6 linked regions of the Neurospora crassa OR74A genome follow. The main gene of each other region encodes a partner of the protein of the gene in region 2 in a complex. Links are inferred from orthologs where the notes say so. Each region holds a gene or a part of one and is shown on either strand. Other genes may lie near its edges.

What was found.
Region 1: NCU06354 (region 2) and NCU01614 share a complex: the UniProt entries of both Saccharomyces cerevisiae proteins name them as parts of the sm core complex. The link is inferred for Neurospora crassa OR74A from reciprocal best matches to the Saccharomyces cerevisiae genes SME1 and SMX3.
Region 3: NCU06354 (region 2) and NCU00505 share a complex: the UniProt entries of both Saccharomyces cerevisiae proteins name them as parts of the sm core complex. The link is inferred for Neurospora crassa OR74A from reciprocal best matches to the Saccharomyces cerevisiae genes SME1 and SMD1.
Region 4: NCU06354 (region 2) and NCU03625 share a complex: the UniProt entries of both Saccharomyces cerevisiae proteins name them as parts of the sm core complex. The link is inferred for Neurospora crassa OR74A from reciprocal best matches to the Saccharomyces cerevisiae genes SME1 and SMD3.
Region 5: NCU06354 (region 2) and NCU04606 share a complex: the UniProt entries of both Saccharomyces cerevisiae proteins name them as parts of the U4/U6-U5 tri-snRNP complex. The link is inferred for Neurospora crassa OR74A from reciprocal best matches to the Saccharomyces cerevisiae genes SME1 and PRP6.
Region 6: NCU06354 (region 2) and NCU11251 share a complex: the UniProt entries of both Saccharomyces cerevisiae proteins name them as parts of the U4/U6-U5 tri-snRNP complex. The link is inferred for Neurospora crassa OR74A from reciprocal best matches to the Saccharomyces cerevisiae genes SME1 and PRP4.

The regions. Positions count from the first base shown.
Region 1 is NC_026502.1:2,951,576-2,955,151, forward strand, and holds NCU01614 (hypothetical protein), read left to right. Parts: upstream 1-1,396; 5' UTR 1,397-1,707; coding exon 1,708-1,815; intron 1,816-2,017; coding exon 2,018-2,109; intron 2,110-2,219; coding exon 2,220-2,292; 3' UTR 2,293-3,076; downstream 3,077-3,576. Other genes in the region: NCU01615 (hypothetical protein), read left to right, coding at 1-971; pp-2 (protein arginine N-methyltransferase HSL7), read right to left, coding at 3,242-3,424, 3,531-3,576. UniProt on the Saccharomyces cerevisiae protein: Plays a role in pre-mRNA splicing as a core component of the spliceosomal U1, U2, U4 and U5 small nuclear ribonucleoproteins (snRNPs), the building blocks of the spliceosome.
Region 2 is NC_026504.1:2,807,020-2,810,027, reverse strand, and holds NCU06354 (small nuclear ribonucleoprotein E), read right to left. Parts: upstream 1,579-3,008; 5' UTR 1,410-1,578; coding exon 1,269-1,409; intron 1,205-1,268; coding exon 1,178-1,204; intron 1,123-1,177; coding exon 1,054-1,122; intron 984-1,053; coding exon 930-983; 3' UTR 672-929; downstream 1-671. Other genes in the region: NCU06353 (hypothetical protein), read left to right, coding at 34-671; NCU06355 (karyopherin), read left to right, coding at 2,348-2,476, 2,559-2,648, 2,728-3,008. UniProt on the Saccharomyces cerevisiae protein: Involved in pre-mRNA splicing. Binds and is required for the stability of snRNA U1, U2, U4 and U5 which contain a highly conserved structural motif called the Sm binding site. Involved in cap modification.
Region 3 is NC_026501.1:8,193,054-8,196,352, reverse strand, and holds NCU00505 (small nuclear ribonucleoprotein Sm D1), read right to left. Parts: upstream 1,847-3,299; 5' UTR 1,720-1,846; coding exon 1,706-1,719; intron 1,588-1,705; exon of another isoform or gene 1,487-1,587; coding exon 1,319-1,486; intron 1,241-1,318; coding exon 1,051-1,240; 3' UTR 501-1,050; downstream 1-500. Other genes in the region: NCU00504 (hypothetical protein), read left to right, coding at 1-392; pkr1 (ER membrane protein), read right to left, coding at 2,407-2,910. UniProt on the Saccharomyces cerevisiae protein: lays a role in pre-mRNA splicing as a core component of the spliceosomal U1, U2, U4 and U5 small nuclear ribonucleoproteins (snRNPs), the building blocks of the spliceosome. Also binds telomerase RNA and is required for its accumulation.
Region 4 is NC_026505.1:1,887,150-1,890,943, forward strand, and holds NCU03625 (small nuclear ribonucleoprotein Sm D3), read right to left. Parts: upstream 2,460-3,794; 5' UTR 2,276-2,459; coding exon 2,228-2,275; intron 2,157-2,227; coding exon 2,096-2,156; intron 2,008-2,095; coding exon 1,878-2,007; intron 1,744-1,877; coding exon 1,632-1,743; 3' UTR 501-1,631; downstream 1-500. Other genes in the region: NCU03624 (hypothetical protein), read left to right, coding at 1-466. UniProt on the Saccharomyces cerevisiae protein: Plays a role in pre-mRNA splicing as a core component of the spliceosomal U1, U2, U4 and U5 small nuclear ribonucleoproteins (snRNPs), the building blocks of the spliceosome. Also binds telomerase RNA and is required for its accumulation.
Region 5 is NC_026505.1:1,527,808-1,532,066, reverse strand, and holds the start of NCU04606 (pre-mRNA splicing factor), read right to left. Parts: upstream 2,801-4,259; 5' UTR 2,708-2,800; coding exon 2,373-2,707; intron 2,261-2,372; exon of another isoform or gene 2,221-2,260; coding exon 1-2,220. UniProt on the Saccharomyces cerevisiae protein: Participates in pre-mRNA splicing. Part of the U4/U5/U6 tri-snRNP complex, one of the building blocks of the spliceosome.
Region 6 is NC_026501.1:4,871,908-4,875,663, forward strand, and holds NCU11251 (pre-mRNA splicing factor), read right to left. Parts: upstream 2,578-3,756; 5' UTR 2,421-2,577; coding exon 2,376-2,420; intron 2,312-2,375; exon of another isoform or gene 2,288-2,311; coding exon 2,254-2,287; intron 2,199-2,253; coding exon 697-2,198; 3' UTR 501-696; downstream 1-500. UniProt on the Saccharomyces cerevisiae protein: Involved in RNA splicing. Is required for the association of U4/U6 snRNP with U5 snRNP in an early step of spliceosome assembly.

The sequences.
Region 1 (3,576 bases), on a different chromosome or scaffold from region 2:
TCAAGCTCTACACCCAACTAGCCAACGCCCACCCGCGCGCCGTCCTCACCGACCTGATCGACCGCTACCTGGACCCGCGCGAATCCGCCCTGGCGACCGTCGACGCCCGCCTCCGCTTCGGCGAGGCCCTACTCCAAGTCGTCGACCGACTGGGCCAGACCTTCACCGGCGACCTAGCCAAGATGACATGCGAAGCCCTGATCAGCCTGGCATCGCGCCGGGGGCATCGGCCCAAGACCATGGCGCGCCAAGCGCGCGAGGCTAAGGCGCGGGAACAGAAGCATAAAGAAGCCGAAGACGCGTGGGACGGCAGCGTGCCGGATATGGCGGATCCGATTTCTGCTGAGGAGCAGGCTAGGCTTGATATCTTGGAGGCGATTGTAGAAGGGTGGTCGTCTGGTACTTCCAAAACGGGTGAAGAGGATGTAAGGATCCGTGCCTCTGCGTTGTCAATTCTGGCGAATTGCATCGAGACGAATATTGTTGGTGTCGCGGCGGTGTTGACGATGGCGAGCGTGGATCTGTGCATTAATGTTGTGCAGGTAGAGCGGCAGCTGGAGAAGGGGATACTCAGGAGGGCGGCGGTGAGGCTGATTATGAGCTTTATCAAGGCCATGGACGAGGCGAAGCACGAGGGGAGGGTGTTGGGGATTGCGTTTGGGAGTGAGACGCAGGAGCAGCTGAGGACGATTTTGGGGTATGTGGAGCAGACGGACGAGGATGGGTTGGTCAGGGAGTATTGTCGGGATGTGCTGGAGAGCTTGGAGAATTGGAAGACGAATAGCTTGGTGGATGAAGTGTCGTTGAGCCAGGCAAGAGGAGGAGGGTTCGGTGGTGGTGGGTTAACGAAGCTGGCTGGGTTGGTTGTCGACCCGGAGAGGTCGGTTTCCCATGGTGGTGATGATAGTGGTGGAAGTAGTGGCGGTGTTGAGATGTTCGGCGGTAGACCTAGGATTGAGGAGATTGAGTAAAATATCTTCACCCAGTATGGGACTTTATTAATTCAAAATGACTTCCTGTCAGGTCCTGAACAGTCCCCTTCCATTTCGTTTCAAAACATCGGCGTCTTCGAGGGTCTTGACCTGAAGGTGTAAGTGGGCATCGGAAATAATCAGGGAGAGATGTCACCAGGTAAACTTGAGTGAAGAAGTGAAAGAATACACTAAGCTATGTACCTGAGTAATGATAAGCAAAAGGATCGCCATAAAGGTCTTGGTGATGCTCATCATCGTCGCTGTCAACAACATCAAGTATCCTCTAGCCACCAACCCTAACCCTGTAATCTACTAATCAGACAGGCTTATTGCCACGTCCAATCAGCTATCGCGTTAGGGCTCCACATGTCCCTCGTAACAGAGGAACTTCCATCGTCGCGCTACTCCAACGCCGCAAAGGTCCAGCATTGGAGGCACAGTCCCAGTTGGAGCTTCTTCCATCATAGCATCAACGCCAATCCCATCTCTCTTCCCAACTTTTCATAACCATAACCTCGACCTTGTTGCGTCCACCCGACCACAACCCACTCTTACACATCTAAGAAAACCGACAAATACAAAATTCCATTAGCACCAAGCCGAATCGCGAATCCAACTTTCGAGCCGTCCCATCGACGACAACAACAACAACAACAACAGCAAGCCTGTGAATACACACACAAGGCGCCACGCACTTGACCAAGAACCAACCCTTCGAACCGAAACCGACAACATGTCTTTTGTCCCAGTTAACCCCCGTCCCTTCCTTCAAGATCTCGTCAACAGCTTTGTGACGATCCGCTTGAAGTGGGGAGAGACGGAGTATGTTGGCCGTCTTGTTGTACGTATATATATACATATCCAGCATCTTTCTTCCAATCTAGCCTTCCCTTTGCCGCTGGACTTTGGTCTTGGCATACACAGCTGTGGGAAGCGATGGGGAGGGGAGGGGAGGGGGAAACCAGCAGGCAGGACCAAGGAGCAACGAAGGAAGAACAAAGAGAGAGAGGCTGACGAAATGCGTGTGTGCATGTGAACAACAGAGCATCGATAGCTACATGAACATTCAGCTCAGCGACACAAAGGAGTACATCAACCGCAAGTTTACGGGCGCCTTGGGGCAGGTTCTGATCAGGTACGTCCATACTGAATACATCCCACTGCTACGGCTTTCCATACGGACGACCCAATCCCCCATCTCGTATCAACTAGCCGGGATGCTGACATTATGGACTTCAACAATAGGTGTAACAACGTTCTCTACATCAAGAAGGCCGACGAGGCGGAAACAAGTGGCGACGTCAAGATGGAAGAGTGAAAGTTCTCTCGCCACCAGGAGGAGGAAATGAAAGGGTAGCCTAGACTAGCGGGCAGGGTGGTGAAGGGCGCGATTTGCAGAACAGACAGGAGGAATGTGTGAGGAGGGAGGGTCGTGATGTTCCGACTATAATACCCTGGGAGGAAAAAAGAAGAAGAAGAAGAGATGGATCTACTCTACCGACCAAACCAAACCGAGCCGAACCGAAGCACAAACCACAACGCACCCGCTCGCCGAAAACTCGTTTCCCAATGATGAAAGTGTGCGCTTCACGAAAGGTGCGACAACAGCTTTGATGATATCGGGCGCGCATGGTGTGGAGAGTGGTACGGAAGGGCGGATTTGCTTCAAGAGAGAGTGAACGGTGGATGGATGGATGGATGGGTACCGAGCGTCTCTCTGTCTGGTAGAGACCTTCGTTGCATCTCCTGCGCAAGACCGTCAAAGGAGCATGTGCCATCTGGCCTTTCCTTGAAGATAAAGGCTAAAATAAGATGTTGGAACAATACTCAGCTTAACAGGAAAGAAAGAAACAAAAATCTGTCAAGACCACACATCATCTAGGTACTGAGCAAAGAAAAGGAAGTGGCGGGTTGAGTTAGACATGCGGACATGGCGTCTGGTTTCCAGGTATTATTTCAACTGAAAGAAAAAGAGAACGAGCGGCGTGAATTTCTGTTAGTCTCAACTTCCACTTGCCTATACATCACACGACTACAGGCAAAGACAGTCACCATCATCATACACATCGCGCGCCTTCCCAATTATGAACATTCTATCCACCATTTGACTTCGAATCTTTTATTCTTTCGCTAAAACAAGACTTTTGACCTTTTCCTCGCAGCGTTTGTTACAGCTGCATACTTACACACTCCTAACACCCGACCTAGCCAGCCTTGCCCACCACCTACTGGTACCTAGTTACCTCCGTTTTTACATTTCCTCTCTTCTAACCAAAAATGCAGGCAACCTTACGACTGCTATGCATCTCAGAAGCGCCAACCTTGATACGGGTCTTGGGACCCACCCAAGCATACACTTCAACCATCCACTCGTACCACACCCTGGTGTCGTCGGTCTGGCGCCACATGCTGACTTCTAGCTCGGTGTCCTGAGGGAAGTAGAGGGGTTGCTATGTATCGTCGAAGAAACAGGGTCAGTAATCGTCACCAAAGCAGGAGCGAGGAGCGAAAAGTCAAGAAAAACAAGAAATGAAGGAAGAAGAGATAAAAACTCACCCTAAGAGGGAAGAAAATCGGGAACCAGGAAATCATGTCCTTGCTC
Region 2 (3,008 bases):
TACTGCCAGCGCAGACTAAATCCGCAATTGCAGGTTCTGTGGTCTTCAACACTCTGAGGAACTTCAAGCCCTACGTAGACGCCAAACGGGTCAGCGTGTTCCTGTCCATGCCCACGGGCGAGATCCAGACCGATGGCATCGTCAGGCACGCTCTAGAGTCCGGCAAGGAGGTTTTCATCCCGTATCTTCACAAGAACCCTCTGGCCTCGCCCAACCTCCCAGCCCGCGTCATGGACATGGTCCGCCTCAGAGATCTTCACGACTATGAGTCCCTCAAGCCAGACAGATGGGGCATTCCCAGCATCGACCCGGCCACGGTCCATGAGCGGCAGAGGGTGTTTGGAGGTCCCGACGCCCACCACTCCGACCAAACCCTGCTTGACTTGATCCTCATGCCCGGCGTGGCCTTCGACATTGACCCGGAAGCTGGGGCCATCAGACGGCTCGGACACGGCAAAGGCTTCTACGACTACTTCATCAACCGGCACAACCAAAAGTCTGTCGAGCTGGGGAAGCAGGAAACCCCTGTATTGCTTTATGGCTTAGCGCTGTCTGAGCAGTTTCTATCCTCTCCATCCGAGGGGTCGGTACCTGTTGGTCGCCACGATCAACCTCTGGACGGCCTGATACTCGGAAATGGCGAGATTAAGAGCCCTCCTGCACCCAAATAGTTCCATGACCTGATATCCATCCCGTACTGCCTTCCTTTGATCAAATACATATAGTCGACATTCCTGTGCGCCTCGGCCAATCGCTTTTCCCTGGTATCTCTTTCGTAGATTCGGTGTCGTTTGTTGTGTAGAAGGCCACGCACCACATCTTTGTGGGCCGTCTATGTACAGCTTTAGATCTGCTGGCTCGTCGCTCGATGTAGGTCCCAGCGTAAATTGCATCGTCGATTACCGCTTCTCCTTCAGGTTTGGAGCTCTTCACCCGGAGTAGCTCTGGATGAGCGAGACATTGTCGCCCTTCAGGAGGATTTGCTGCGACCCAGTTAGCCACCCTTTCCACTGCCACAACAACATCGACGTCCAGCCCTAAACATATTCTTACCCCAAGCTCCCTCCTCTCCTCCGTCTCGTTTGTCTTGGAGACCAGCTTGACCTCAATCGCATTGTCGATCTGTGGAAATGGGGTTAGGTCTCGTAGTGCTAGTGGGACATGCGCCGCTACTCACCACCAGGTTCATGAACTCGTCGAAGCCCTGTAAGACGGAATTGTCAGCACCTATGTTTGCTCTTCGGGGAGGTCACGATGGAGAATCCTACACGAATGGTGCCGATGATGCGAATGTGAAGCTGCTCGTACAGCCAGATTTGGACGGTCGAGTGTTGTTGCAAAAGACGGAAGAGGAAGTTGATGGGAGGAAGAAGAACACGGCGGTTGCCGCCACCACCTCTGCCGGTCATGTTGAGAATAAAAGTTTGTTGTGGTTTGGTCGTTTGGCCGGTGTTTAGGACAGAAGTTTGATGGTGATGTGGAGGCTGAACAAGTAAGTCGCAATCAAGTTGTGGATGGTCGTTGTTGGTCGGCTGGGCTTGGCTTGCAGTTGTTCCCAGACGCGTTCTCTCTACGGCCGGGACGTGACTTCAATGAATTTCCCCCGAATGTCGAATTGCCTGCCTGTCTGTCTCTGGCGTGTGGAGCTCTTGTTTTCACAAGCACCTCCCGCCGGGGACGGGACGGGAGCTGCTCAGCTGGTCTGTGCACTTAGTTACATGCTGCTGGGCCCACAGCGTCGTGTCATAACCTCTTGGCATTCAGCTCAATTCACTTTTTCCGAGCTGCTTGGGTTCTCAAGCCACAGAATCTTCAGTTTGGGGTAGCATGAGCCCCTCCCGCTTGTCCCACTTATGGCGGTGCAGGATGTGCTTCCACTTTCTTTGACCCGCTTGCCCGCCGCCGTTTACTCCACTCGCGGTCGGTCGGTGTCAGGCAGCCTGACGTTCTTCGATTGTTGGCGGGATGTTTTTCAATCGTCGTTTCTTTGGACGCTCAAGAGCAAATCGTCGCCGGCAACCTCCAACTTGCAGCAATCCTGTCACCACGGCGGCACCGTACAATACCTCCCAGTCCTTTATTCTTGCAACCTCTCTGGAGCTTCATATACCCCGTGCGCATCGCAGCTCCTCGCCTTTACAACAACATATCCTGAAAGCTTCCATCGCGTCGCAAGACCGATAAGTCGGACAACACTCCTGTCGAATAGGAGGGGCTGATCCATCCACTTTGCGACCTGCGATACCCCAGCGATAGCTTCCACTTGCAACACCGCATCGCAACACTTGCCATCACAACACTTGTATTCGAGCTAAATCACATCATACACAATCCGAAGCTGCCCAACATGGCTTCCAACGGCGCCACAGACGGCTTCACCACCCCAAATGTCCTGCAGGCCATGCTGACGATGCGGAGTGGTGACTCCGGTTCCAAGAAGGCCGCCATGGACTACCTGCAAAAGTTTCAGAAGTCGGTCAGTTGGGCTTTCAGCTCCTTCGACGCCAACACACCTATGGTTCGCATGTGACTAACCCGCATTTCTCAATCGACCGTAGAACGAGGCCTGGACTACCACAATATCGATCTTGCAGGGCTCTCCCGAAGCCGAGGCGCAACTCTTCGCAGCAACGACACTGAAGGGCAAGGTACTTACAGATACCCATTGGATCACGACGATACCGCTACGCTTGTATGTCGCGCACCGCTGACATTCACGATTCTCAGATTACCTACGACCTCGCAACGCAAATTCCCGAAAGTGAACATGCTGCTCTTCGCAACCAGATCCTAGTCCTCCTCAAGAAGTTCGCCAGTGGCCCCAAGCCCGTCCGAGTCCAACTATGCGTGTGTCTGGCCATCCTAGCCATCCAGATGCAGTCCTGGAAGGATGTATTGCAGACCGTCGTCAGCGCCCTCGGAGATGATGTATCCAGCCACGCCTGCATCTTGGACTTCCTACGAGTACTTCCCGAAGAGGTCACGGAAGGCCGCAAAATCACCTTGTC
Region 3 (3,299 bases), on a different chromosome or scaffold from region 2:
TCGTCTCCCCCTTTCGTCCCGGATCGGTAGATGTCCTAGTCTTCAACCCGCCCTACGTCCCTACGCCTGACTTGCCTGCGCCGCCACCGACAGGGTTGCAGGCACTGAAGGAGAAAACGACGTTTGAGGAAGACTCACATCTCTTGGAGTTGACGTATGCTGGAGGGAGGGATGGGATGGAGACGACGGATAGACTGATTGAGGCCTTGCCGGGGGTGTTGAGCGAGAGGGGGGTGGCGTATATTCTGCTTTGTGCGCAGAATAAGCCGGAGGAGGTCAAAGGGAGGATCAGGGTGATGGGTGGTGAAGGGAAGTGGAAGGCAGAGACGGTGGGGACTAGTGGGAGGCAGGCGGGTTGGGAGAAGTTGCAGATTGTGAGGGTTTGGAGGTGAATGGAGGGATGAGATGCTGGTGATGAGTTGAGGATGGGGAGGAAGCTGTTGAAGAGGGTGGAAGAGGGGGAAGGACGATGGTCAGTCACGTACAAGGCTCGAAAATTCTGGGGGAAATTTGGTATAGAGAGTTGCTGATTGTGCCGCCTTCTCCAGTAGGCATATATCGCCGTCTATCTGTTTTGTGATACATAAAATAGTTCATTCCGGTGGCGGTTGGGCGCGCCTTTCTCTCTCTCCCTTCCCGCTAGCAAAGTGATTTTATCCTGTCCAGAACGCCGCAACGAAATCCCAATGCTTGCCCTCTGCTCCGATCCGATGAGGGGGAGTGGTGTTTATGTGTGTAACACTCGATGCGAATGAGGTGAATCTCGAGTGTCGCTCAAGTGAAGATCTGGGATATGCTCCTCGATTTTCTGAAGCGCACTCATCGTCGATTTTGTCGTGTCGTCGCCACCGGACGTTATTTCGGGCCGGCCTTGATCTTCCCTACCAAGACGGTCAAGCCGGTCGACCGAAGGGGGCATAAAAAACCGAAAAAAATCCACCATTAACCGTAGTATAGCATCGTATCGTCTTTGAAAAAAAATCTAATTCGCACGTTTCTGTCGTCCAGGGAGACGTACGCCGTGGCCGATCCCAAAGAAACGAGATCCGCTTAGCCACGGCCACGACCGCGGCCGCGACCCATTCCCCTTCCTCTGCCACGGCCACCACGGCCACCTCTGCCGCCGGCGCTGCGGTCCGCTTCCTTTCTCGCCTTGTTCTTGGGCTTCACGGAATCATCAACTAGCAATGTATCGAGCGGCAAAGAATCGGGGAGTATGAAGTAACGGATGGTCGAGCCCCTGTAGGGTTTCAATAGTTAGTGATGCCCTCGAAAACTGAAAAGGGCCACTCCCCCTTAGTTGAAAGGGTTGATTTACCTAATGTTCATGGCATCTAGAGCCACAGCGTCCTGGCCCTTGGGGGTCATCTTGACGTTGCGAAGCGCAGTGTCCATGCGGGGTGTGACCGAGGCGATAGTGCCGTGTACAATTGTGCCGTTCTTCAACTCAATCGTCACCGTCTCGTTGGCGCATTTCATCAAAAATCTGCAGTGTTGAAGTAACGGATTCCACTTCGTCAGCCTGGTGCCCTTGGTGTTCTTTTTCTAGTAGAGCAGCATGGACGCGCGCGAACACGGGCTGGCAGCCTTGAAGGCGAGGACTCAAAGCTCAGCATGCGTCGTGCAAGAGAATAGGAATGAAGTCGGGTGGGATGGGGTATCGGGTACATGTAGCGAAGTATCAGAAAGCAAGGAGAAATCTTACCTGACCAGCTTCATCTTGACTTATTTGGACAACGCGTAATCGAATATGTGTTGTATGGAATTGGTGGTGACAAGGTCTCGATTACCAGCTTGTTACTTTGTCAATCAACAGTCGCGACGGGAGAAGGCTTGTCGAGCTTCCTTGGACGCTTGCACAACCATCCAAGCGTCAGGGTGGAGCAGATAGCCTGCCGTCGCTACGCGCCAAGATAGAGCCCGTGCTCAATCACGTGAGCCGAGCTGAACAGGCAAACGGCGGCTTGAAAGCCCCTAACCCTGGAAGTCATGGGTTTCAAGCTATCCATAAATTGCCTGCCCTGCACATGATCTGTTCATGTGCTGAGTTGAAGCAACCAGATAATTGGGGTACACGAAGATGGGCTGGCTAACTGCCACGCCGAACAACAAGGTGTTGTTTACTATGACTTTGTCTCTGAAGCTATAGCTGTAGTTGCACAGATCATGATGCCTCATGGCAGGATAAGGACTATGAAACGAACATAGGGCTTACAGCCTTCAACTGCCTCTCCTTTCATCCAATGAAGAACGAAAACAGGGTGGATGTGTAAATGCCATCGTCGCTCAACTCCAACACGAAAGCGGACCATGACACTATTTACAGGATGCCATGGTAACTTCGCTAACACGACATTCGCTTGTACGTTCTGCGTGTGGTCGGTCCCCGCTCAATCGCCAGGATATTCACTTGTCCTTTTCGTTCTCGTTCTCCGAAACCTTCTCCCACTCATCTTCCGTGCTGACGCCGCTCTTAGTGCCCAGGCTCGGTGTCTCCTCAACCACTCTGTGCTTCAGTTCTCCAATCTGCTGGATAGGCTCAACCTCATGGCTGACCGCCTCTGCAATTGACTCCTGCCTCGTGAGGCTAGCTGTCGATGTAGCTGCCTCTACTTCTGTTTCGCTGTCTTCCGATGTGACTGGAGTTGGCGCTGCTTCTTTGGCTCTTCTCGCCTTTTCCTCTTCTTGGATTTGGTGCACCTTCAGTTCCGCCGCGAACCAGTTGATGGATCCCCAGAGTCCACCGCAGAGAGCCGAGAGAATTACGAAGTGGATACTCCATGTCGCAAAGAGGAGGCACGCCAGGACAATTTGCAGAGCGGCAAATGTGACATTTGTCGCGATAAGGAGGGTGGGAGTCGGCCCCGGAGTGAAGATCGACTCCCAGAGATTTGTAACGAAGGATGTCATTGGGAAGATTAGGCTGGCGCTATGTCGGCGTTGAAAAGTTTGACCGTGAAGGTATGTCGTGTAGAGGAAAATTCTTGTTGTCGATTCGTGTTCAGGACGATGCGCCGTGGAAGCGATGCGGACAAACGAAGAGACAAACTCGCAGTAAAGTCAATGGTTCGTAGTGGATGACTACAGTCGAAGAGAGGGTTAGTCACGGCCTCACAACCTTTATAAATGACGAGGGACAGAAGGCAGGGGACGGATGAGGATGTGCAGCCCAACCAGACAAAGCCCGTAGGGCCGAAGAGCTGGTCACCCGCCGAGAGGACAGGGCCATGGATACCAGATCACAAGACACGGTTGCTCTTCAACTACTGACCTATTCTAGTTGTATAATTTGGCCTTTG
Region 4 (3,794 bases), on a different chromosome or scaffold from region 2:
TGCTACTACTGCTGCTACTACGGAATCAGAGACCAAGGGAAATTGGCCTGCGCATATCCCCTTCACAAGAAACTATCTACTAGCGGAAACTGTTCCGGCCCTGCAAGCACTGGCGCAGAAGCTCGTGCTACAGTCATCAACATTAGCGGGAGCCACCACGGCACTCGGCGGCATGTCCTGGCTCTCTGGATTCGGAATATATGAGTGTGGAGCCGTCGCCGCCTTGGGTATTGTTTTGAGTTTGAGGGGCTTGCAGAAAAGGTGGGAGAGGGCGAGAGATTTCTGGGAGGGCGAGGTTCGTGAGGAAGGACGCAAGGCTATTCGCGCAACCGAAGCCAGCATTGCCGAGGTGCTGGATAGCGTTTCTCCTGAAGTTCCCGAGGATGTGGCGGTTGAGATTGAGGAGCTGAAGGAGGCCAAGAGTGTCCTCAAGCGGGCCGAGGAAGCGCTTGCGAGGCTGAAGTAGAAATGATGGGTTGCAACAGATGTTTAGAAGGACATTCTGCAAACCGAACTTGGTCAGTTTCGGACTTCTTGTGCTTATTATTTTCCACAGCCCTCTCGCCCTGCCTGTTAGTCCCTTAGGTGGGTGTTTTGACAATATGCCCTCTCCAACTCAACCCTTAAACAGCCAGTTGTATATTTAGTCTACACGATTCACTCTCACTCAGAGCATTGTTGCAAGCTCGTCTTATGCGAGCCTCACATATAGGGACAGGCGGGTTAGAACCGGCGGACGCAACAGATCAACCAGGGCTACACTCTTATGTACCATTAAAAAAGCAAGCCGAAGTGGGAGTAAAAAGGGGGCATCGGACTTTTGTGGTAGATATCAAAAACTGTCAGCGTAGGCTGAAGATGGAATGGGTTGTGTGTACAACAACATAATAGACAAAGACGTTGAATACGTACCCTGTCTATATCAGAACCAGGGCTAGTAGGAGTTTCGCTTTCGGTGCGATTCGATCCATGCTGTATGTGCTCGCTCCTTGGCCAAGGACTCAACTGGGGGGAGACCTGAGGCTGGCTGAACACCTGGTTCGCTCTGGCTGCTAACCGTGATGAAGCCAGGTTTTCGTTGCGTGCTGACGGACGGGTAGCGGCTGTTGCATCGACCGACCATTATCGTCCAGCTGGCGGAGCGTGAAAACCCCTGGATACGCCACGCTTCTCCCATGATCATCATTTGGCAGCAGATGGATGAGCGGGGCCAGCTGGCGTCCTCCATATCACTCCTCATCGAGGCTCTCAACCCTCCAATCCCAGCCCCAGCACTCACTCCAGTCCCTTCTCATCTCTGGCCGGCCTTGAGCCACCCTCCTCCCTATCCCTCCTGTTCCTCCTTCTCTGGGCATCCAAAGCTTGCCCCCCACACTTTTCTCTTTCCATCCAACTCGCTGCCCCCCATTTTCGGTAGAAAGAAGATCAAAGTTTGCTTTATTGGTTCCCCCCACCCAAAACGCCTAAAATATCAAAATAGCGGTTGTCGTTGCGCGCGGAAAAAAAAAAGGAGCCATAATATGCCGATTATTGTGCCCCAATATTGCATTCCGTTGTGAAATTTTCAATGATTCTCGGTCTGGGTCTGGTCTTGGTCGATGAGTCTGACGACAGGCGGCGCTCGCTGTCTTCTATCTGGCGCCGCCACGACCACCGGCGCGCGCCCTACTGACTGTCGCACGACCGCGGGCGAGACCGACACCGCGGCCGCGGACGTTGCGGGAGCGGAACATGGGGGCGTTTCTGTATGGGAACACAAAAAAAAGAGGAGGAGGAAATGATTAGCTTGGGTCCTATCCGACTTATTGGGTAGGTAGGGGGCAACTGGGGAGAAGAATCGCAACGGATGAGTTGGTGGTGGCCTGGTTTGAACGTACCTCAACATATCCGGCACAATAAAGAATCGCACATGACTGCCGCGGATGTAGACTTGTTCGAGATGGCTGACGCGCCCGTCGCGGGCTGTGACGGTGATGTCCTTGAGTTGGACGTTCATGTTGTCCTCGGCTGTTTTGCGGGGGAGCGCATTGGTTAGCATGGCTGGCCAGTTTAGAGGAGTGAATGGGAATGAAGAGTTCATGGGGGTTAGCAGTACCTTCGATAAGCTTGCCACGGTAGGTCTGGCCGGAGGTGATCTCGAGAGTGACGATATGGCCCTGTGGGACAGGAGTGGTTGGTTAGCTTTTGGCAGCACTACAGTCTGTGCATAGCAATGGTGTTTACTTACCTGAGCCTCATTGAGGAGCTTGATGGGGATACCAATTGTGGAAGTCATGTTGGCGGCTGTGTTATTACGTGGTGAGGTTGGTTGGCGATGTGGAGGGGCGAACTGATCTTTCTTGGTGTTGGTTTTAGAGATTACCTAGATGGTATGCCGTAAGTACAGGCGACTTGGTTCGCGATGATAGTGGATGCGATCAGTTGCCTTTGACGTGAACGCGGCAGCCCTGTCAGCCCGGTGCTGCTGGGAATTTCGTCGGAGAGCTTAGTTGATCTTGTCAGCTGCAAGACAGCTGCCAGATCTCACGGTACGTACCGCGCATTGAGGTCCTACACTACAAGGAAGTGTGGAGGCTTCCCCACACGCCTCTTCTGCGCTGTCCCCACATTCAGTGAACTGGTGGTCTTCGGTCATCCAAAACCTCGTCATCGTCACTGACATAAACCTTCTTTCTTCAACCCATTGGCAGTAAGTGGAATTTACCGGCCTGCTGTCATACGCTTGTACTCAATCAAAGTATGAACTGTCTGGTTCAGCACCCCGAACGCCGTTATCGCTCAACTTTCCTGGCTCATGTTCCGAGTCGTCGCATGATGGCGGCCGTCACGGGGATGGGATTGTCCAACGCATTGAACACAGCATCCCCAACCTTTTTCTCAATGAGGCCTTCTTCGATGTTCTATACGCTGAATTATGTGAGGTCCTTCGGTTCTCAATTCACCCTTGTCCCCGAATATTGGACAGTCACTCCCCTCCCGCTTTGCCCCATACCACCAGCCAACCGTTGACGAGCAACTCCCACATTCTCGACGGCCTCGTCTAGCCATTGCCTATCAGCCAAGGACGGGACGTGATACAGGACAGAAAACGCCCCTCGACGTTCTCCAGACTTCCTCGCGCCCCGAGAGATGCCGTACCCGGGTCCTTCTGCATCATGCTACTACATACATGCCTCCATCCTCGCTCCCTGTCGGCCACGACCACGGCTTGCACGGCTACGTAGTCCAGCGAGTAAGGGGCCATCTGGCCTTGTCCCATTTTCAAAACGCAGTGACGGGCTGGCCAAGTGGGCCGCCGGCCAATTGCTGTGTTGTCAGCTTGATGCCCAAACCCTATGATCAAACCCCACGAACCGCCCCGGCACCGCTGAATGGGCGAGGCAACTAACCGTCTCAACCTCGAGCTGCGGCAGGTGGGTTTGGCGTGGACTGATCTTCCATAGCACTGGCTGTTATAGGCTGCATGCATGTGCATCGAGAGACCATGATCTGTGTGCGTCTGCTCCTCCGTCTTGGTTGCTCCGAGTTCTCGGTCTTTTCTCTCCACCTTCTTTGTTATCTCGCTGTGTGAGCTGGATCGTGTGGTGATGGTGCGGTACTAGCAAGCTTTGACAAGCTCGACGGCAGCTCCGGTTGCATCCCACCTCCCACCATCATGTCCTCGTCTTTGCCCTGATTGGACGTCTCACCACTCTCCAGGAGGTGTCTGCCAACTTCTAGCGCTGGACGCTACATGACATCTCAGTTCCGAGTGGAAGATCTCTGGTCTGGTCACTCCATCAGTTCCGGTAATT
Region 5 (4,259 bases), on a different chromosome or scaffold from region 2:
TCGCGATCCAGCAACAGCGCCTTCTCGAACCAGTTCTGCGCCCGGTCCAGCTTCCTTTCCGCCCACAGAATTCTCGCGGCCGTGACCAGCAGGATCGGATCGTCTTCCACCTTTTTCACCGCCTCGGCAAGCAGCGATTTCCGCTGCGTGCGCGGCTCGAGGTTGAGGATCCTTTCCGCCCACAGCAAGCCCGATTTGGGCATCTGCTGTAACGCTTGCGCCATGAGCGACTTGGCCTGGTTCAAGTTGCCCGCGCGCCGCTCGACGCGGATGAGTTCCGTCCATAGCTCCGGGGACTTGGGCACGGCTTGTCGGGCGCGGTCGAGGACCGAGCGCGCCTTGACGACATTGTTGGCCTTTTCTTCTAAACGAGAGTACAGAAGCCAGAGCGGGATGGACGAAGGGACGGCGCGCACGCCGGTGCTGTAGGCTTCCCGCGCAGGACCAAGTTGGCCGAGGTCTTCGTAGATTTGGCCCTTCATCATCCAGAGTTTGGGCTTGGAAGGGAAGAGCTGTAGGGCCTGTTGGACGAGATCCAAAGCGGCCTCGTTGACGCCTTGTTGACGCTCAAACGCCACGGAGCGCATCCACACGCGATCGGTGGGCGCATTCTGGCGCGCGGTCTTGAGGAGTTCGCGGGCTTTGTCGATGAAACCGTTGTCGGCTTCGAGCTTGACGGCCGCCAGCCAGATGTCCTCGCTGTCCGGGTTCTGCTTGAAGGCGCGGGCAAGGACGAGGCGTGCCTCGTCGACGCCCGCCTCGGCGGCTTTCTCGCGCGCGAGCATGAGCCAGAAGACTTCGTAGTGCGGACAGGCCTCGACGGCCTTTTCGAGCGCGTGCCAGAGGTCTTCCTTGCTGCCGTGGTTGCGCTCCAGGTCGATGGCGGCCGTGTAGAGCGATTTGCTGTTGGGGAAGACGCGGATGGCGTAGGCGTAGATGGCGCGCGCTGTGGCGAACTTGTCCCGGTTGATGGAGGCGCGCGCGTCTTCCATCCAGAGCTCCTTGCGGTCATCGTCCTCGTCGAGACCCCAGCCAAGCGTCTCTTCGATGATGTTGCTGCAAGTGATGACGGCGCCTTCCTCTTCGCACTTTTCTGCTTCGGCGATCCATTCCTCGCGCTTGGGCATGGCGTTCTGCTTGGCGAGGAACTTGACGGCGTTCTTCATCACGGGCCGCTTCTTGCCTTCGCCTAGTTGTTCTTCCAGGCGAGCGGCGGCGATCCAGAGTTCGTGCGAGTTGGGAAGCTTCTTGACGGCCTTGTTGAGAACCTTGCGGGCGTTTTCGGGAGTCTCGAGACGGGCCAGTGCCAACCAGAGGTCGAGCGACTCCGGGATAAGCTCCGTCGCCTTGGCTAGTAGAATGCGGGCGTCTTCGACGTCCTCCTCGAGGTTGACAGCCTCCTTCCATAGCGCCTCGGACTCTTGGTTATGATCGAGAGCTCTCCGGATAACCTTCTTCTTTGATCTAGGGTCGTTTTCCAGCTTCATCGCTTCCACCCAAAGCTTGACCGAGTGTGGGTTGGCTTGAATAGCCTGTGCCGCAATGACCTTGGCGTTCCGGTTGTCGTTCAAATGAATGTTTTCCAGCCAAATATCCTCGCTCTTCGGGCAGTGTTCGCAGCCCTTGGCAATCAAGCTGCGGGCAGCACCAGGCTTTCCCGCCGCGATTTCCAATCTCGCTGCAGCAATCCAACTGGCTGCCTGTTTGGGGTTCGAGTCGACAGCCGACTTGAGCATCTTCCTGAACTGCTCAATGTCTCCAATGCTTTGTTCCGCACCCTGCATGCTCGACAGCGATGTCAGGTAGCCCTTGGGGTCGATACTCGTCGCGCTTCCCGCCGTGGCCACGCTACTCGACTGTGATTGCTGTTCCAAGCGCGCCCTCAGCACCTTGTCGCGAGCCGCACCGATCTTTGCGAAATCTGTAACTGTGCCATCCTTGTTGACCCCTTCGGTGGCGGTGCCGTCTTCTGCAACGGTGGTACCGAACTGGCCGGAATCTCGCGCGGCAGCGAGGACACTGTCGGGAACGGCGTAGAAGCGCTCCATGCGAGCCTGGCGTGCCCTCTTGGTCCTGCCGGTAAGGTCCTTGGGATCTGGTAGGTTTGCCCATTCTTCGTCGGTGACCGTCTCGAGCGCTCGTTTGAGGCCGGCGAATTGCTGTTGGATTTTGGGGTTCTTTCGTTCGTACTCTAATCGTTCGGCTTCTTCTCGTGCTTCCCTGTGAAAATGCGATTTCTTGTCGGTACTCTGCTTTTCATCTATCTTGACCGATAAACCACATGCTTGCTTGAAAGTGTTGGGGAAGGGGTAGAAGGGTGTTTTGTGAATTTATGTAGGATGTCAAGTGATGTATACGAGGTAATGACTAACCTTTGCTTCTGTCGCCGCTTCGCCATCCTGTCGTCTACCTCTTTCCATATCCGATCTGCCTCCTCGTCGTCCTTCTCGTATATGCCGCCGGCGAACAAGCCGACTTCGTTGTCGGGATCCTGATAGCGGCCATCGTCTTCATTGTCGTCGTCCTTGGCCTCGGTCAGACCTAGCTGTGCAGATCTCTTCGCGACGGCCGCCTTGATCTGGTCTTCACTAGGACCCTCGCGCGCGGGACCAAGATCGGATCGTGTAGTGAAACCCGTGGCACCACGACCGAGACCGGCGACGTAGTTCTCGGGTGCGGGTTGACTGAGGAAATCCCGTCTAGACATGGTGGCGGTTTTCTGTATTCGTGATGTATTGTAGAGACGCGGTGGCTAGGATTGTGACCGTGGTGGCCGTAGAGGTAGCTCCAAACATTTGAGTTAGCGGCAAAATACCGGCAGGCTGCAAGTCGAAGTGGAAGTCGAACTCCAGGGCACTGAAGCCTGCCTGCCACTGGTCCAGGCGCTCTTGGCATTTGACGAACGAATGGCAGGCACAGTGCCAAGTAAACAGTCTACGACTCCACCAGTGCTTGGCGGCTTAATTCCACTTTCGTTGTTTACTTCCTCCTATCATTCATCTACCTCCTTTCCCGTCTTCACCATCACCAGTCAGCGGAGCCATGATGGCCATAGAAGACAACTATGACGATATTTCAGCGCTCCTGCCGTCGGCAACTGAAATGGCCTGGCTCAGTGAGGCGTGAAGTGGGACAACTTCACCCAGATGCTCGTCTGCTCTTCGTGTTGCAGCATCACTAAGGGAAATGCATTATTCATCTATGGCAATGCCTGCGATCAGCCTAGCCAACAATGTCCAACTTCAACCTCCCATTTAAATTCTTTCTGTGCAGGTGCGGCAACTACAGCATTTATGCCTCGCACCATTCAACCTTCACGGTCAGGTTAACCGCAAAGGCGGCACCATGCAAGGCGAATATACTCCCTCACCGAGACTTCGTAACACAGGTTTTCCTGTTTACAATAAACATGCTGTACAACGGCACACGATGACTGAGCCTATGCCTTTTTATTCTGCAATGAATTTAGGCTGGGTTTAGCTCCTTGCCGGCCGTCTACCTAGGTATATTTATTCAGTACCACGTCCCTGATTGAGTATACAGCGGGATCCGAGTTCGCACAACTTGAACGTCTGTACACAAGGTGCTTCCAATCTGCATACACTGTCTCAAAGCACTCATGGCGACTGAAGGAAAGCTACTCCAGCGCCGCCCACTCGAACCACCAATGTGCAATTTCGAGACCCTCCTGTTGACTAAATCTCATAAGTATGGGCATCTAGCTCGCTTCTTCACCCTTTACTACCACTCACATATTCGGTCCAGACCTTCTTGCTCGTCCATCACAGGAGAGCTTGATGTGATAGTCATGGAGCCGCTGATCAAAAACCCGATGTCTTCTCATATCAAACACTCATCAAATGACTCCGCAGGTAAGATCTCTTGGAAACCAGGCGGCTTCAGACGTTTTCCCTGGTTTGGGATAATTCCGCTGATCTTTTGTATAAGCTGTGAGTACTCGTTCCTACGTTCACCACAACACTGAGGCTGTGACCAAGTACCGACAATGCTAACTGCAAGGACTAGGTACAGGAATTGCTATAGGAGTCGTTCTCGAGAGCGATGGTGGTTCGGAAAAGAACTGGTCCGGGCTCAGACAACCCGGTGTTTTGTTGGCGTACACATCGACTCTTGCAAACGCGTTGATGGGGCTTGCCTTTGCCCAAGCGGCCGTGATATTCTTCTGGGTCCAAGCAACAACGCCGCTACCAGTTGAGTTCCGGCATCTCTCGGCTGTCAGTCAGTATGATATATCAATT
Region 6 (3,756 bases), on a different chromosome or scaffold from region 2:
TTCCCAAATAAGCGAATCCTCCCCGTGTCGCCCTTCAGACAGCTTTGAGCGGGTTGATGCGCATGGGGACTTGAGCTGCCCGGATGCTGTGAGTTGAGGGTATTGTGAATGACGTCTCTCGCGATAAATACCGGCTGGGGATAAAACCACTTGAAAATGCAGAAATGCGAGAAACGAAGAAGTCAAAGGTTCGAAAACGGACCAACGCTACAAGTTCCCGGTGATGGCGTCTGCTGCCATTGTTTTATCGCCCTTTATCAGAAAGCCAAGCTTCGCACGATGGACCGTGCGTCACCATTTCCCAGGGTGCCAGGGTGACTTTACCAACGCCAACCAACGCGAGCGGCAGGTGTCCCGCCCAACCCTGCCCGCGTCACTGCAGAAAAGAAGGGAGAAGGAATCTCAACAGGCCCACTTTCGCGGTCAGGTGACACCCCTTATCCTTACCGGGTCAGTGAAACGCAACCACAAGGCAACTCAGACGCATGTACCAAAGGCAGCTTGTTATGGGCACCCAGTTGTGGTTGTTGATCTACAAATTGAGACGGCTTCTATGCAATCTATCTGCCGATACTGTCTCTCGTGGAGCGGTAAGCCAAGCCCTGGCCTGTCGCTTGCTGAACGCCCTCCTTGGTGTGTTGCTCCTATGCGAGAGGCAACGACAAGATTCTTGTCGCGCACATGATTGATGTCTGCTCAGGAATCATACAAGCTCCTGGAGTCGTTTCTTCCCCAAAGTTTGACCGTCCGGTCATGGCCACCGCTTACAATCCATTTTCCATCCCGGCTAACGTCAACACTCGCAACAGGCCCTGTGTGGCCGCTGAGAGACTGAACCAAGGCCCAGTCGTCAGCGGAAAATATGTTCACCTTGTGGTCAAAGCCTGCCGACACCATAAAGGTGCCGGATTTTTTGGGAATTTGCATTCCCTTTTCATCTTCGCCAGGAGGCACTCCTTCCAACGGGTCATCCAACCCCTTGAACCACCGCACGTCGGCCACTGCACTTGTATGGGCACCAATGCCTCCAATTCTTTCCACTTTTCTAACGTCCCAGCATTTGATCCAACCATCAGCAGACGCCGTGAGCACCCTGTAACCGTCCGAGCCCCAGTCCAAACCATAAATAGGCTTGATATGGCCGTCCTGATGCCCATCTAGAATCATGGCAGTCCGTCCTGTCCGCAGATCCCAGATTCTTCCGATACTGTCCAAACCCGCGCTAGCGAGTAGCGATCCGTCACTGTTATAACTGACAGCGTATACACCGCGAGAGTGACCTTCCTGGAGAAGGAGCTCGGTGCCGGTTTCAACATCCCACATCCTCCATGACGTGTCTTCTGAGGCAGAAGCCAGATACTTGCCCGATGGATGGAACTCTACACGACATACTCGTTGCGAGTGTCCTGAGAGAGTTCTCAAAGGCGTGTCTTGGTTCAAAGACCAGAGATGAATCTGGCCTTCCGCTCCTCCGGAAGCGAGATTGACTGTGTCGGGAGAAACATTGCGCTCCGGCAGTGTAGCTCCAGGCATCCAGCATAGGCCGCTGACTTTGTTGGTGTGGCCCCTCAAAGTCTTCCTTGGCTCAAGGGTTGGGATTTCGATGAGTTTGACCTGTCCGCCCCAATTGCCAGTTGCGACCATGTTTCCATCAGGCGAGATCCTTGTCATGCTGATGTGCCGCTCTCCTGCCGTTTGACTGCCTTGCAATTCAAACCCTTGAAGCTTCTCCTTGATCTCTTTTCGGTGTTTGACATGTGTCCGCAGTGGGATGGTGGACTCCTTCTTCTGGAACTCGATGCGCTTCTTAGCTCTCGGGATTGAGTAGTGAGCGATGTCGATGCGGGCCTGGAGCAGTTCCGGGCTTCCAGTAGTGTAAAATTCCTCCTCTTGGTCGCCGGCTTCATCTTCCTCGTTTTCGGCGTCCCGCATCTCCACATCGGCACTTTCCTGACCTCCCTTTTCGGCTTGTTGTGTCATGAGTTCTCGTAATCTGTCGCGTCTGTCTGCCGGACCCTCGCCGAAGAGGGTGACAGGCTCGCCCATCTCTCGCAATTTGGCTCGTACCCGGCCATCGTCGGTAGGAACAGCAATCGAAGCCGCTAATCGTTTTCGTTCAAACTGCGATAGAAGAACGGAGGCCTTCTCTGGGGCAATACCAGCCCCAGCACCGGGGATGTCGTAGTCGCGATCGAGGGCTAACACGCAAATCAGTCATGGGTTGGAAGCCATACAAGAGTTTTGGGGACTTACGGACGGAGTCTAGATCCATGCCTCCGCGATCCTGCTTCAGGGGGGGTCAGTCCGGGCTCTGTTTGCAATGTTGAGCAGGTGCCTTCAATGATGCGAGGGGCGCATATAGAGCATGGTCTTACCTCAGGCTCGGCCTCCTCCACGTAGGCTCTACGCGCCGGATGCATAGTGCTAAACTTTCGGTGTTTGTTCGTTTGCTAAATCTTCTGGACACTTGAACGCGAGTAAAGCCAGGTGATTCGAGTCCGGCTTGTGGTTGCTAAAGGACCGTTTGATGTGAGGGCTCGATGTTTTGCTTGCTGTCGTGAAATAGCAGGTGATGCAATCACAGGGAAGTTTACAATGCTGGCGCCGTTGCTGTTGCGGGAGCTCCACTAAAATTTCCGGCGCATCTTCGACCCTAACCCTCAACAAGCTGTCCCACCTGAATGCGCTCATCTCGGTCCTAGCACCACGGGCACCTCGTCTTAAGGTGAACCAACGAATCGCCATGAAGCTTTCACCGATCATTCAAAGAGGTACTTGAAATTTCAAAGTTTCATGTGATATGTGATAGATTCCTTGTTGGTGTCAACATTCGTTAATACCCACTTCGCACACGGTAGGTTTGGTCCGAGGTGACATGGAAGCGCGATCACAAACGGTGCGGCCAGTTCCCCCTTCCCAGCCCGTCGATCAATGCGGTTTAATGACCGCCAATCGAGCCCCGGCTGTTCGGATTCCCCAGACTTGTCAAAACTGAAGATCGGGGTCGGCATCCAGCGGCCTTGGTACACTACACTACCTATACACACATGACACCTGCCGTGTGGTATTGGAGGTTCATTTCTGGACATGGAGAGCAACATGGGGCTTTTTTCAGGTTGAAAGCTAGTGTGGAAAAAGCCTGGAAAATGGCCGATGGTGCATTCCCTTTAATGCGGGTGAGACGTATGTCTGATGTCTCTCACCCGATTTTCACGTGCTCTCGCCAATTCCTCCTGGGACATGGAACGCCCGCCAATTCCTCCTTTTCCTTTAAGTTCACCAGACCAATCCAGCTGGTCTTTCCGCCCTTTCAGTTGCTCGCCTGCCCGGCCTGCCCGGCCTGCCCAGACCGTGACGCATGATGTGAACGCTTTTCTCTTTATCGTGGTTGGCTCAATGGCGGGATATTTGGGTGAGGCGGACGCGGCCCCCTGCCCGGCTAGTGCATTCCAGTCCCTAGGGGTACTAAATTGTGCATAGGTAATACCCAAGGTCACAAACCCGGTCCAGGCCCATCCTAATTCACTGCAGGTGCAGAGTCCGGGCTCCATTTTATTTTAACTTCTGCTGCCCACGGAACTCCATTTCATTGTTGCCATTGTCGACCTCTCTCTTCGCACGCTCCCCCAGTCACAACTCTCTTCTTTTTTCTCTTTTCTGTTTTTTTTCTCTTTCTCTCTCTCCTTCTTGACAGTAAAAACCACATCTCATCGAGCCTTTCCACCCTCAATGCATATCGAGAAGACCGTCGACGAC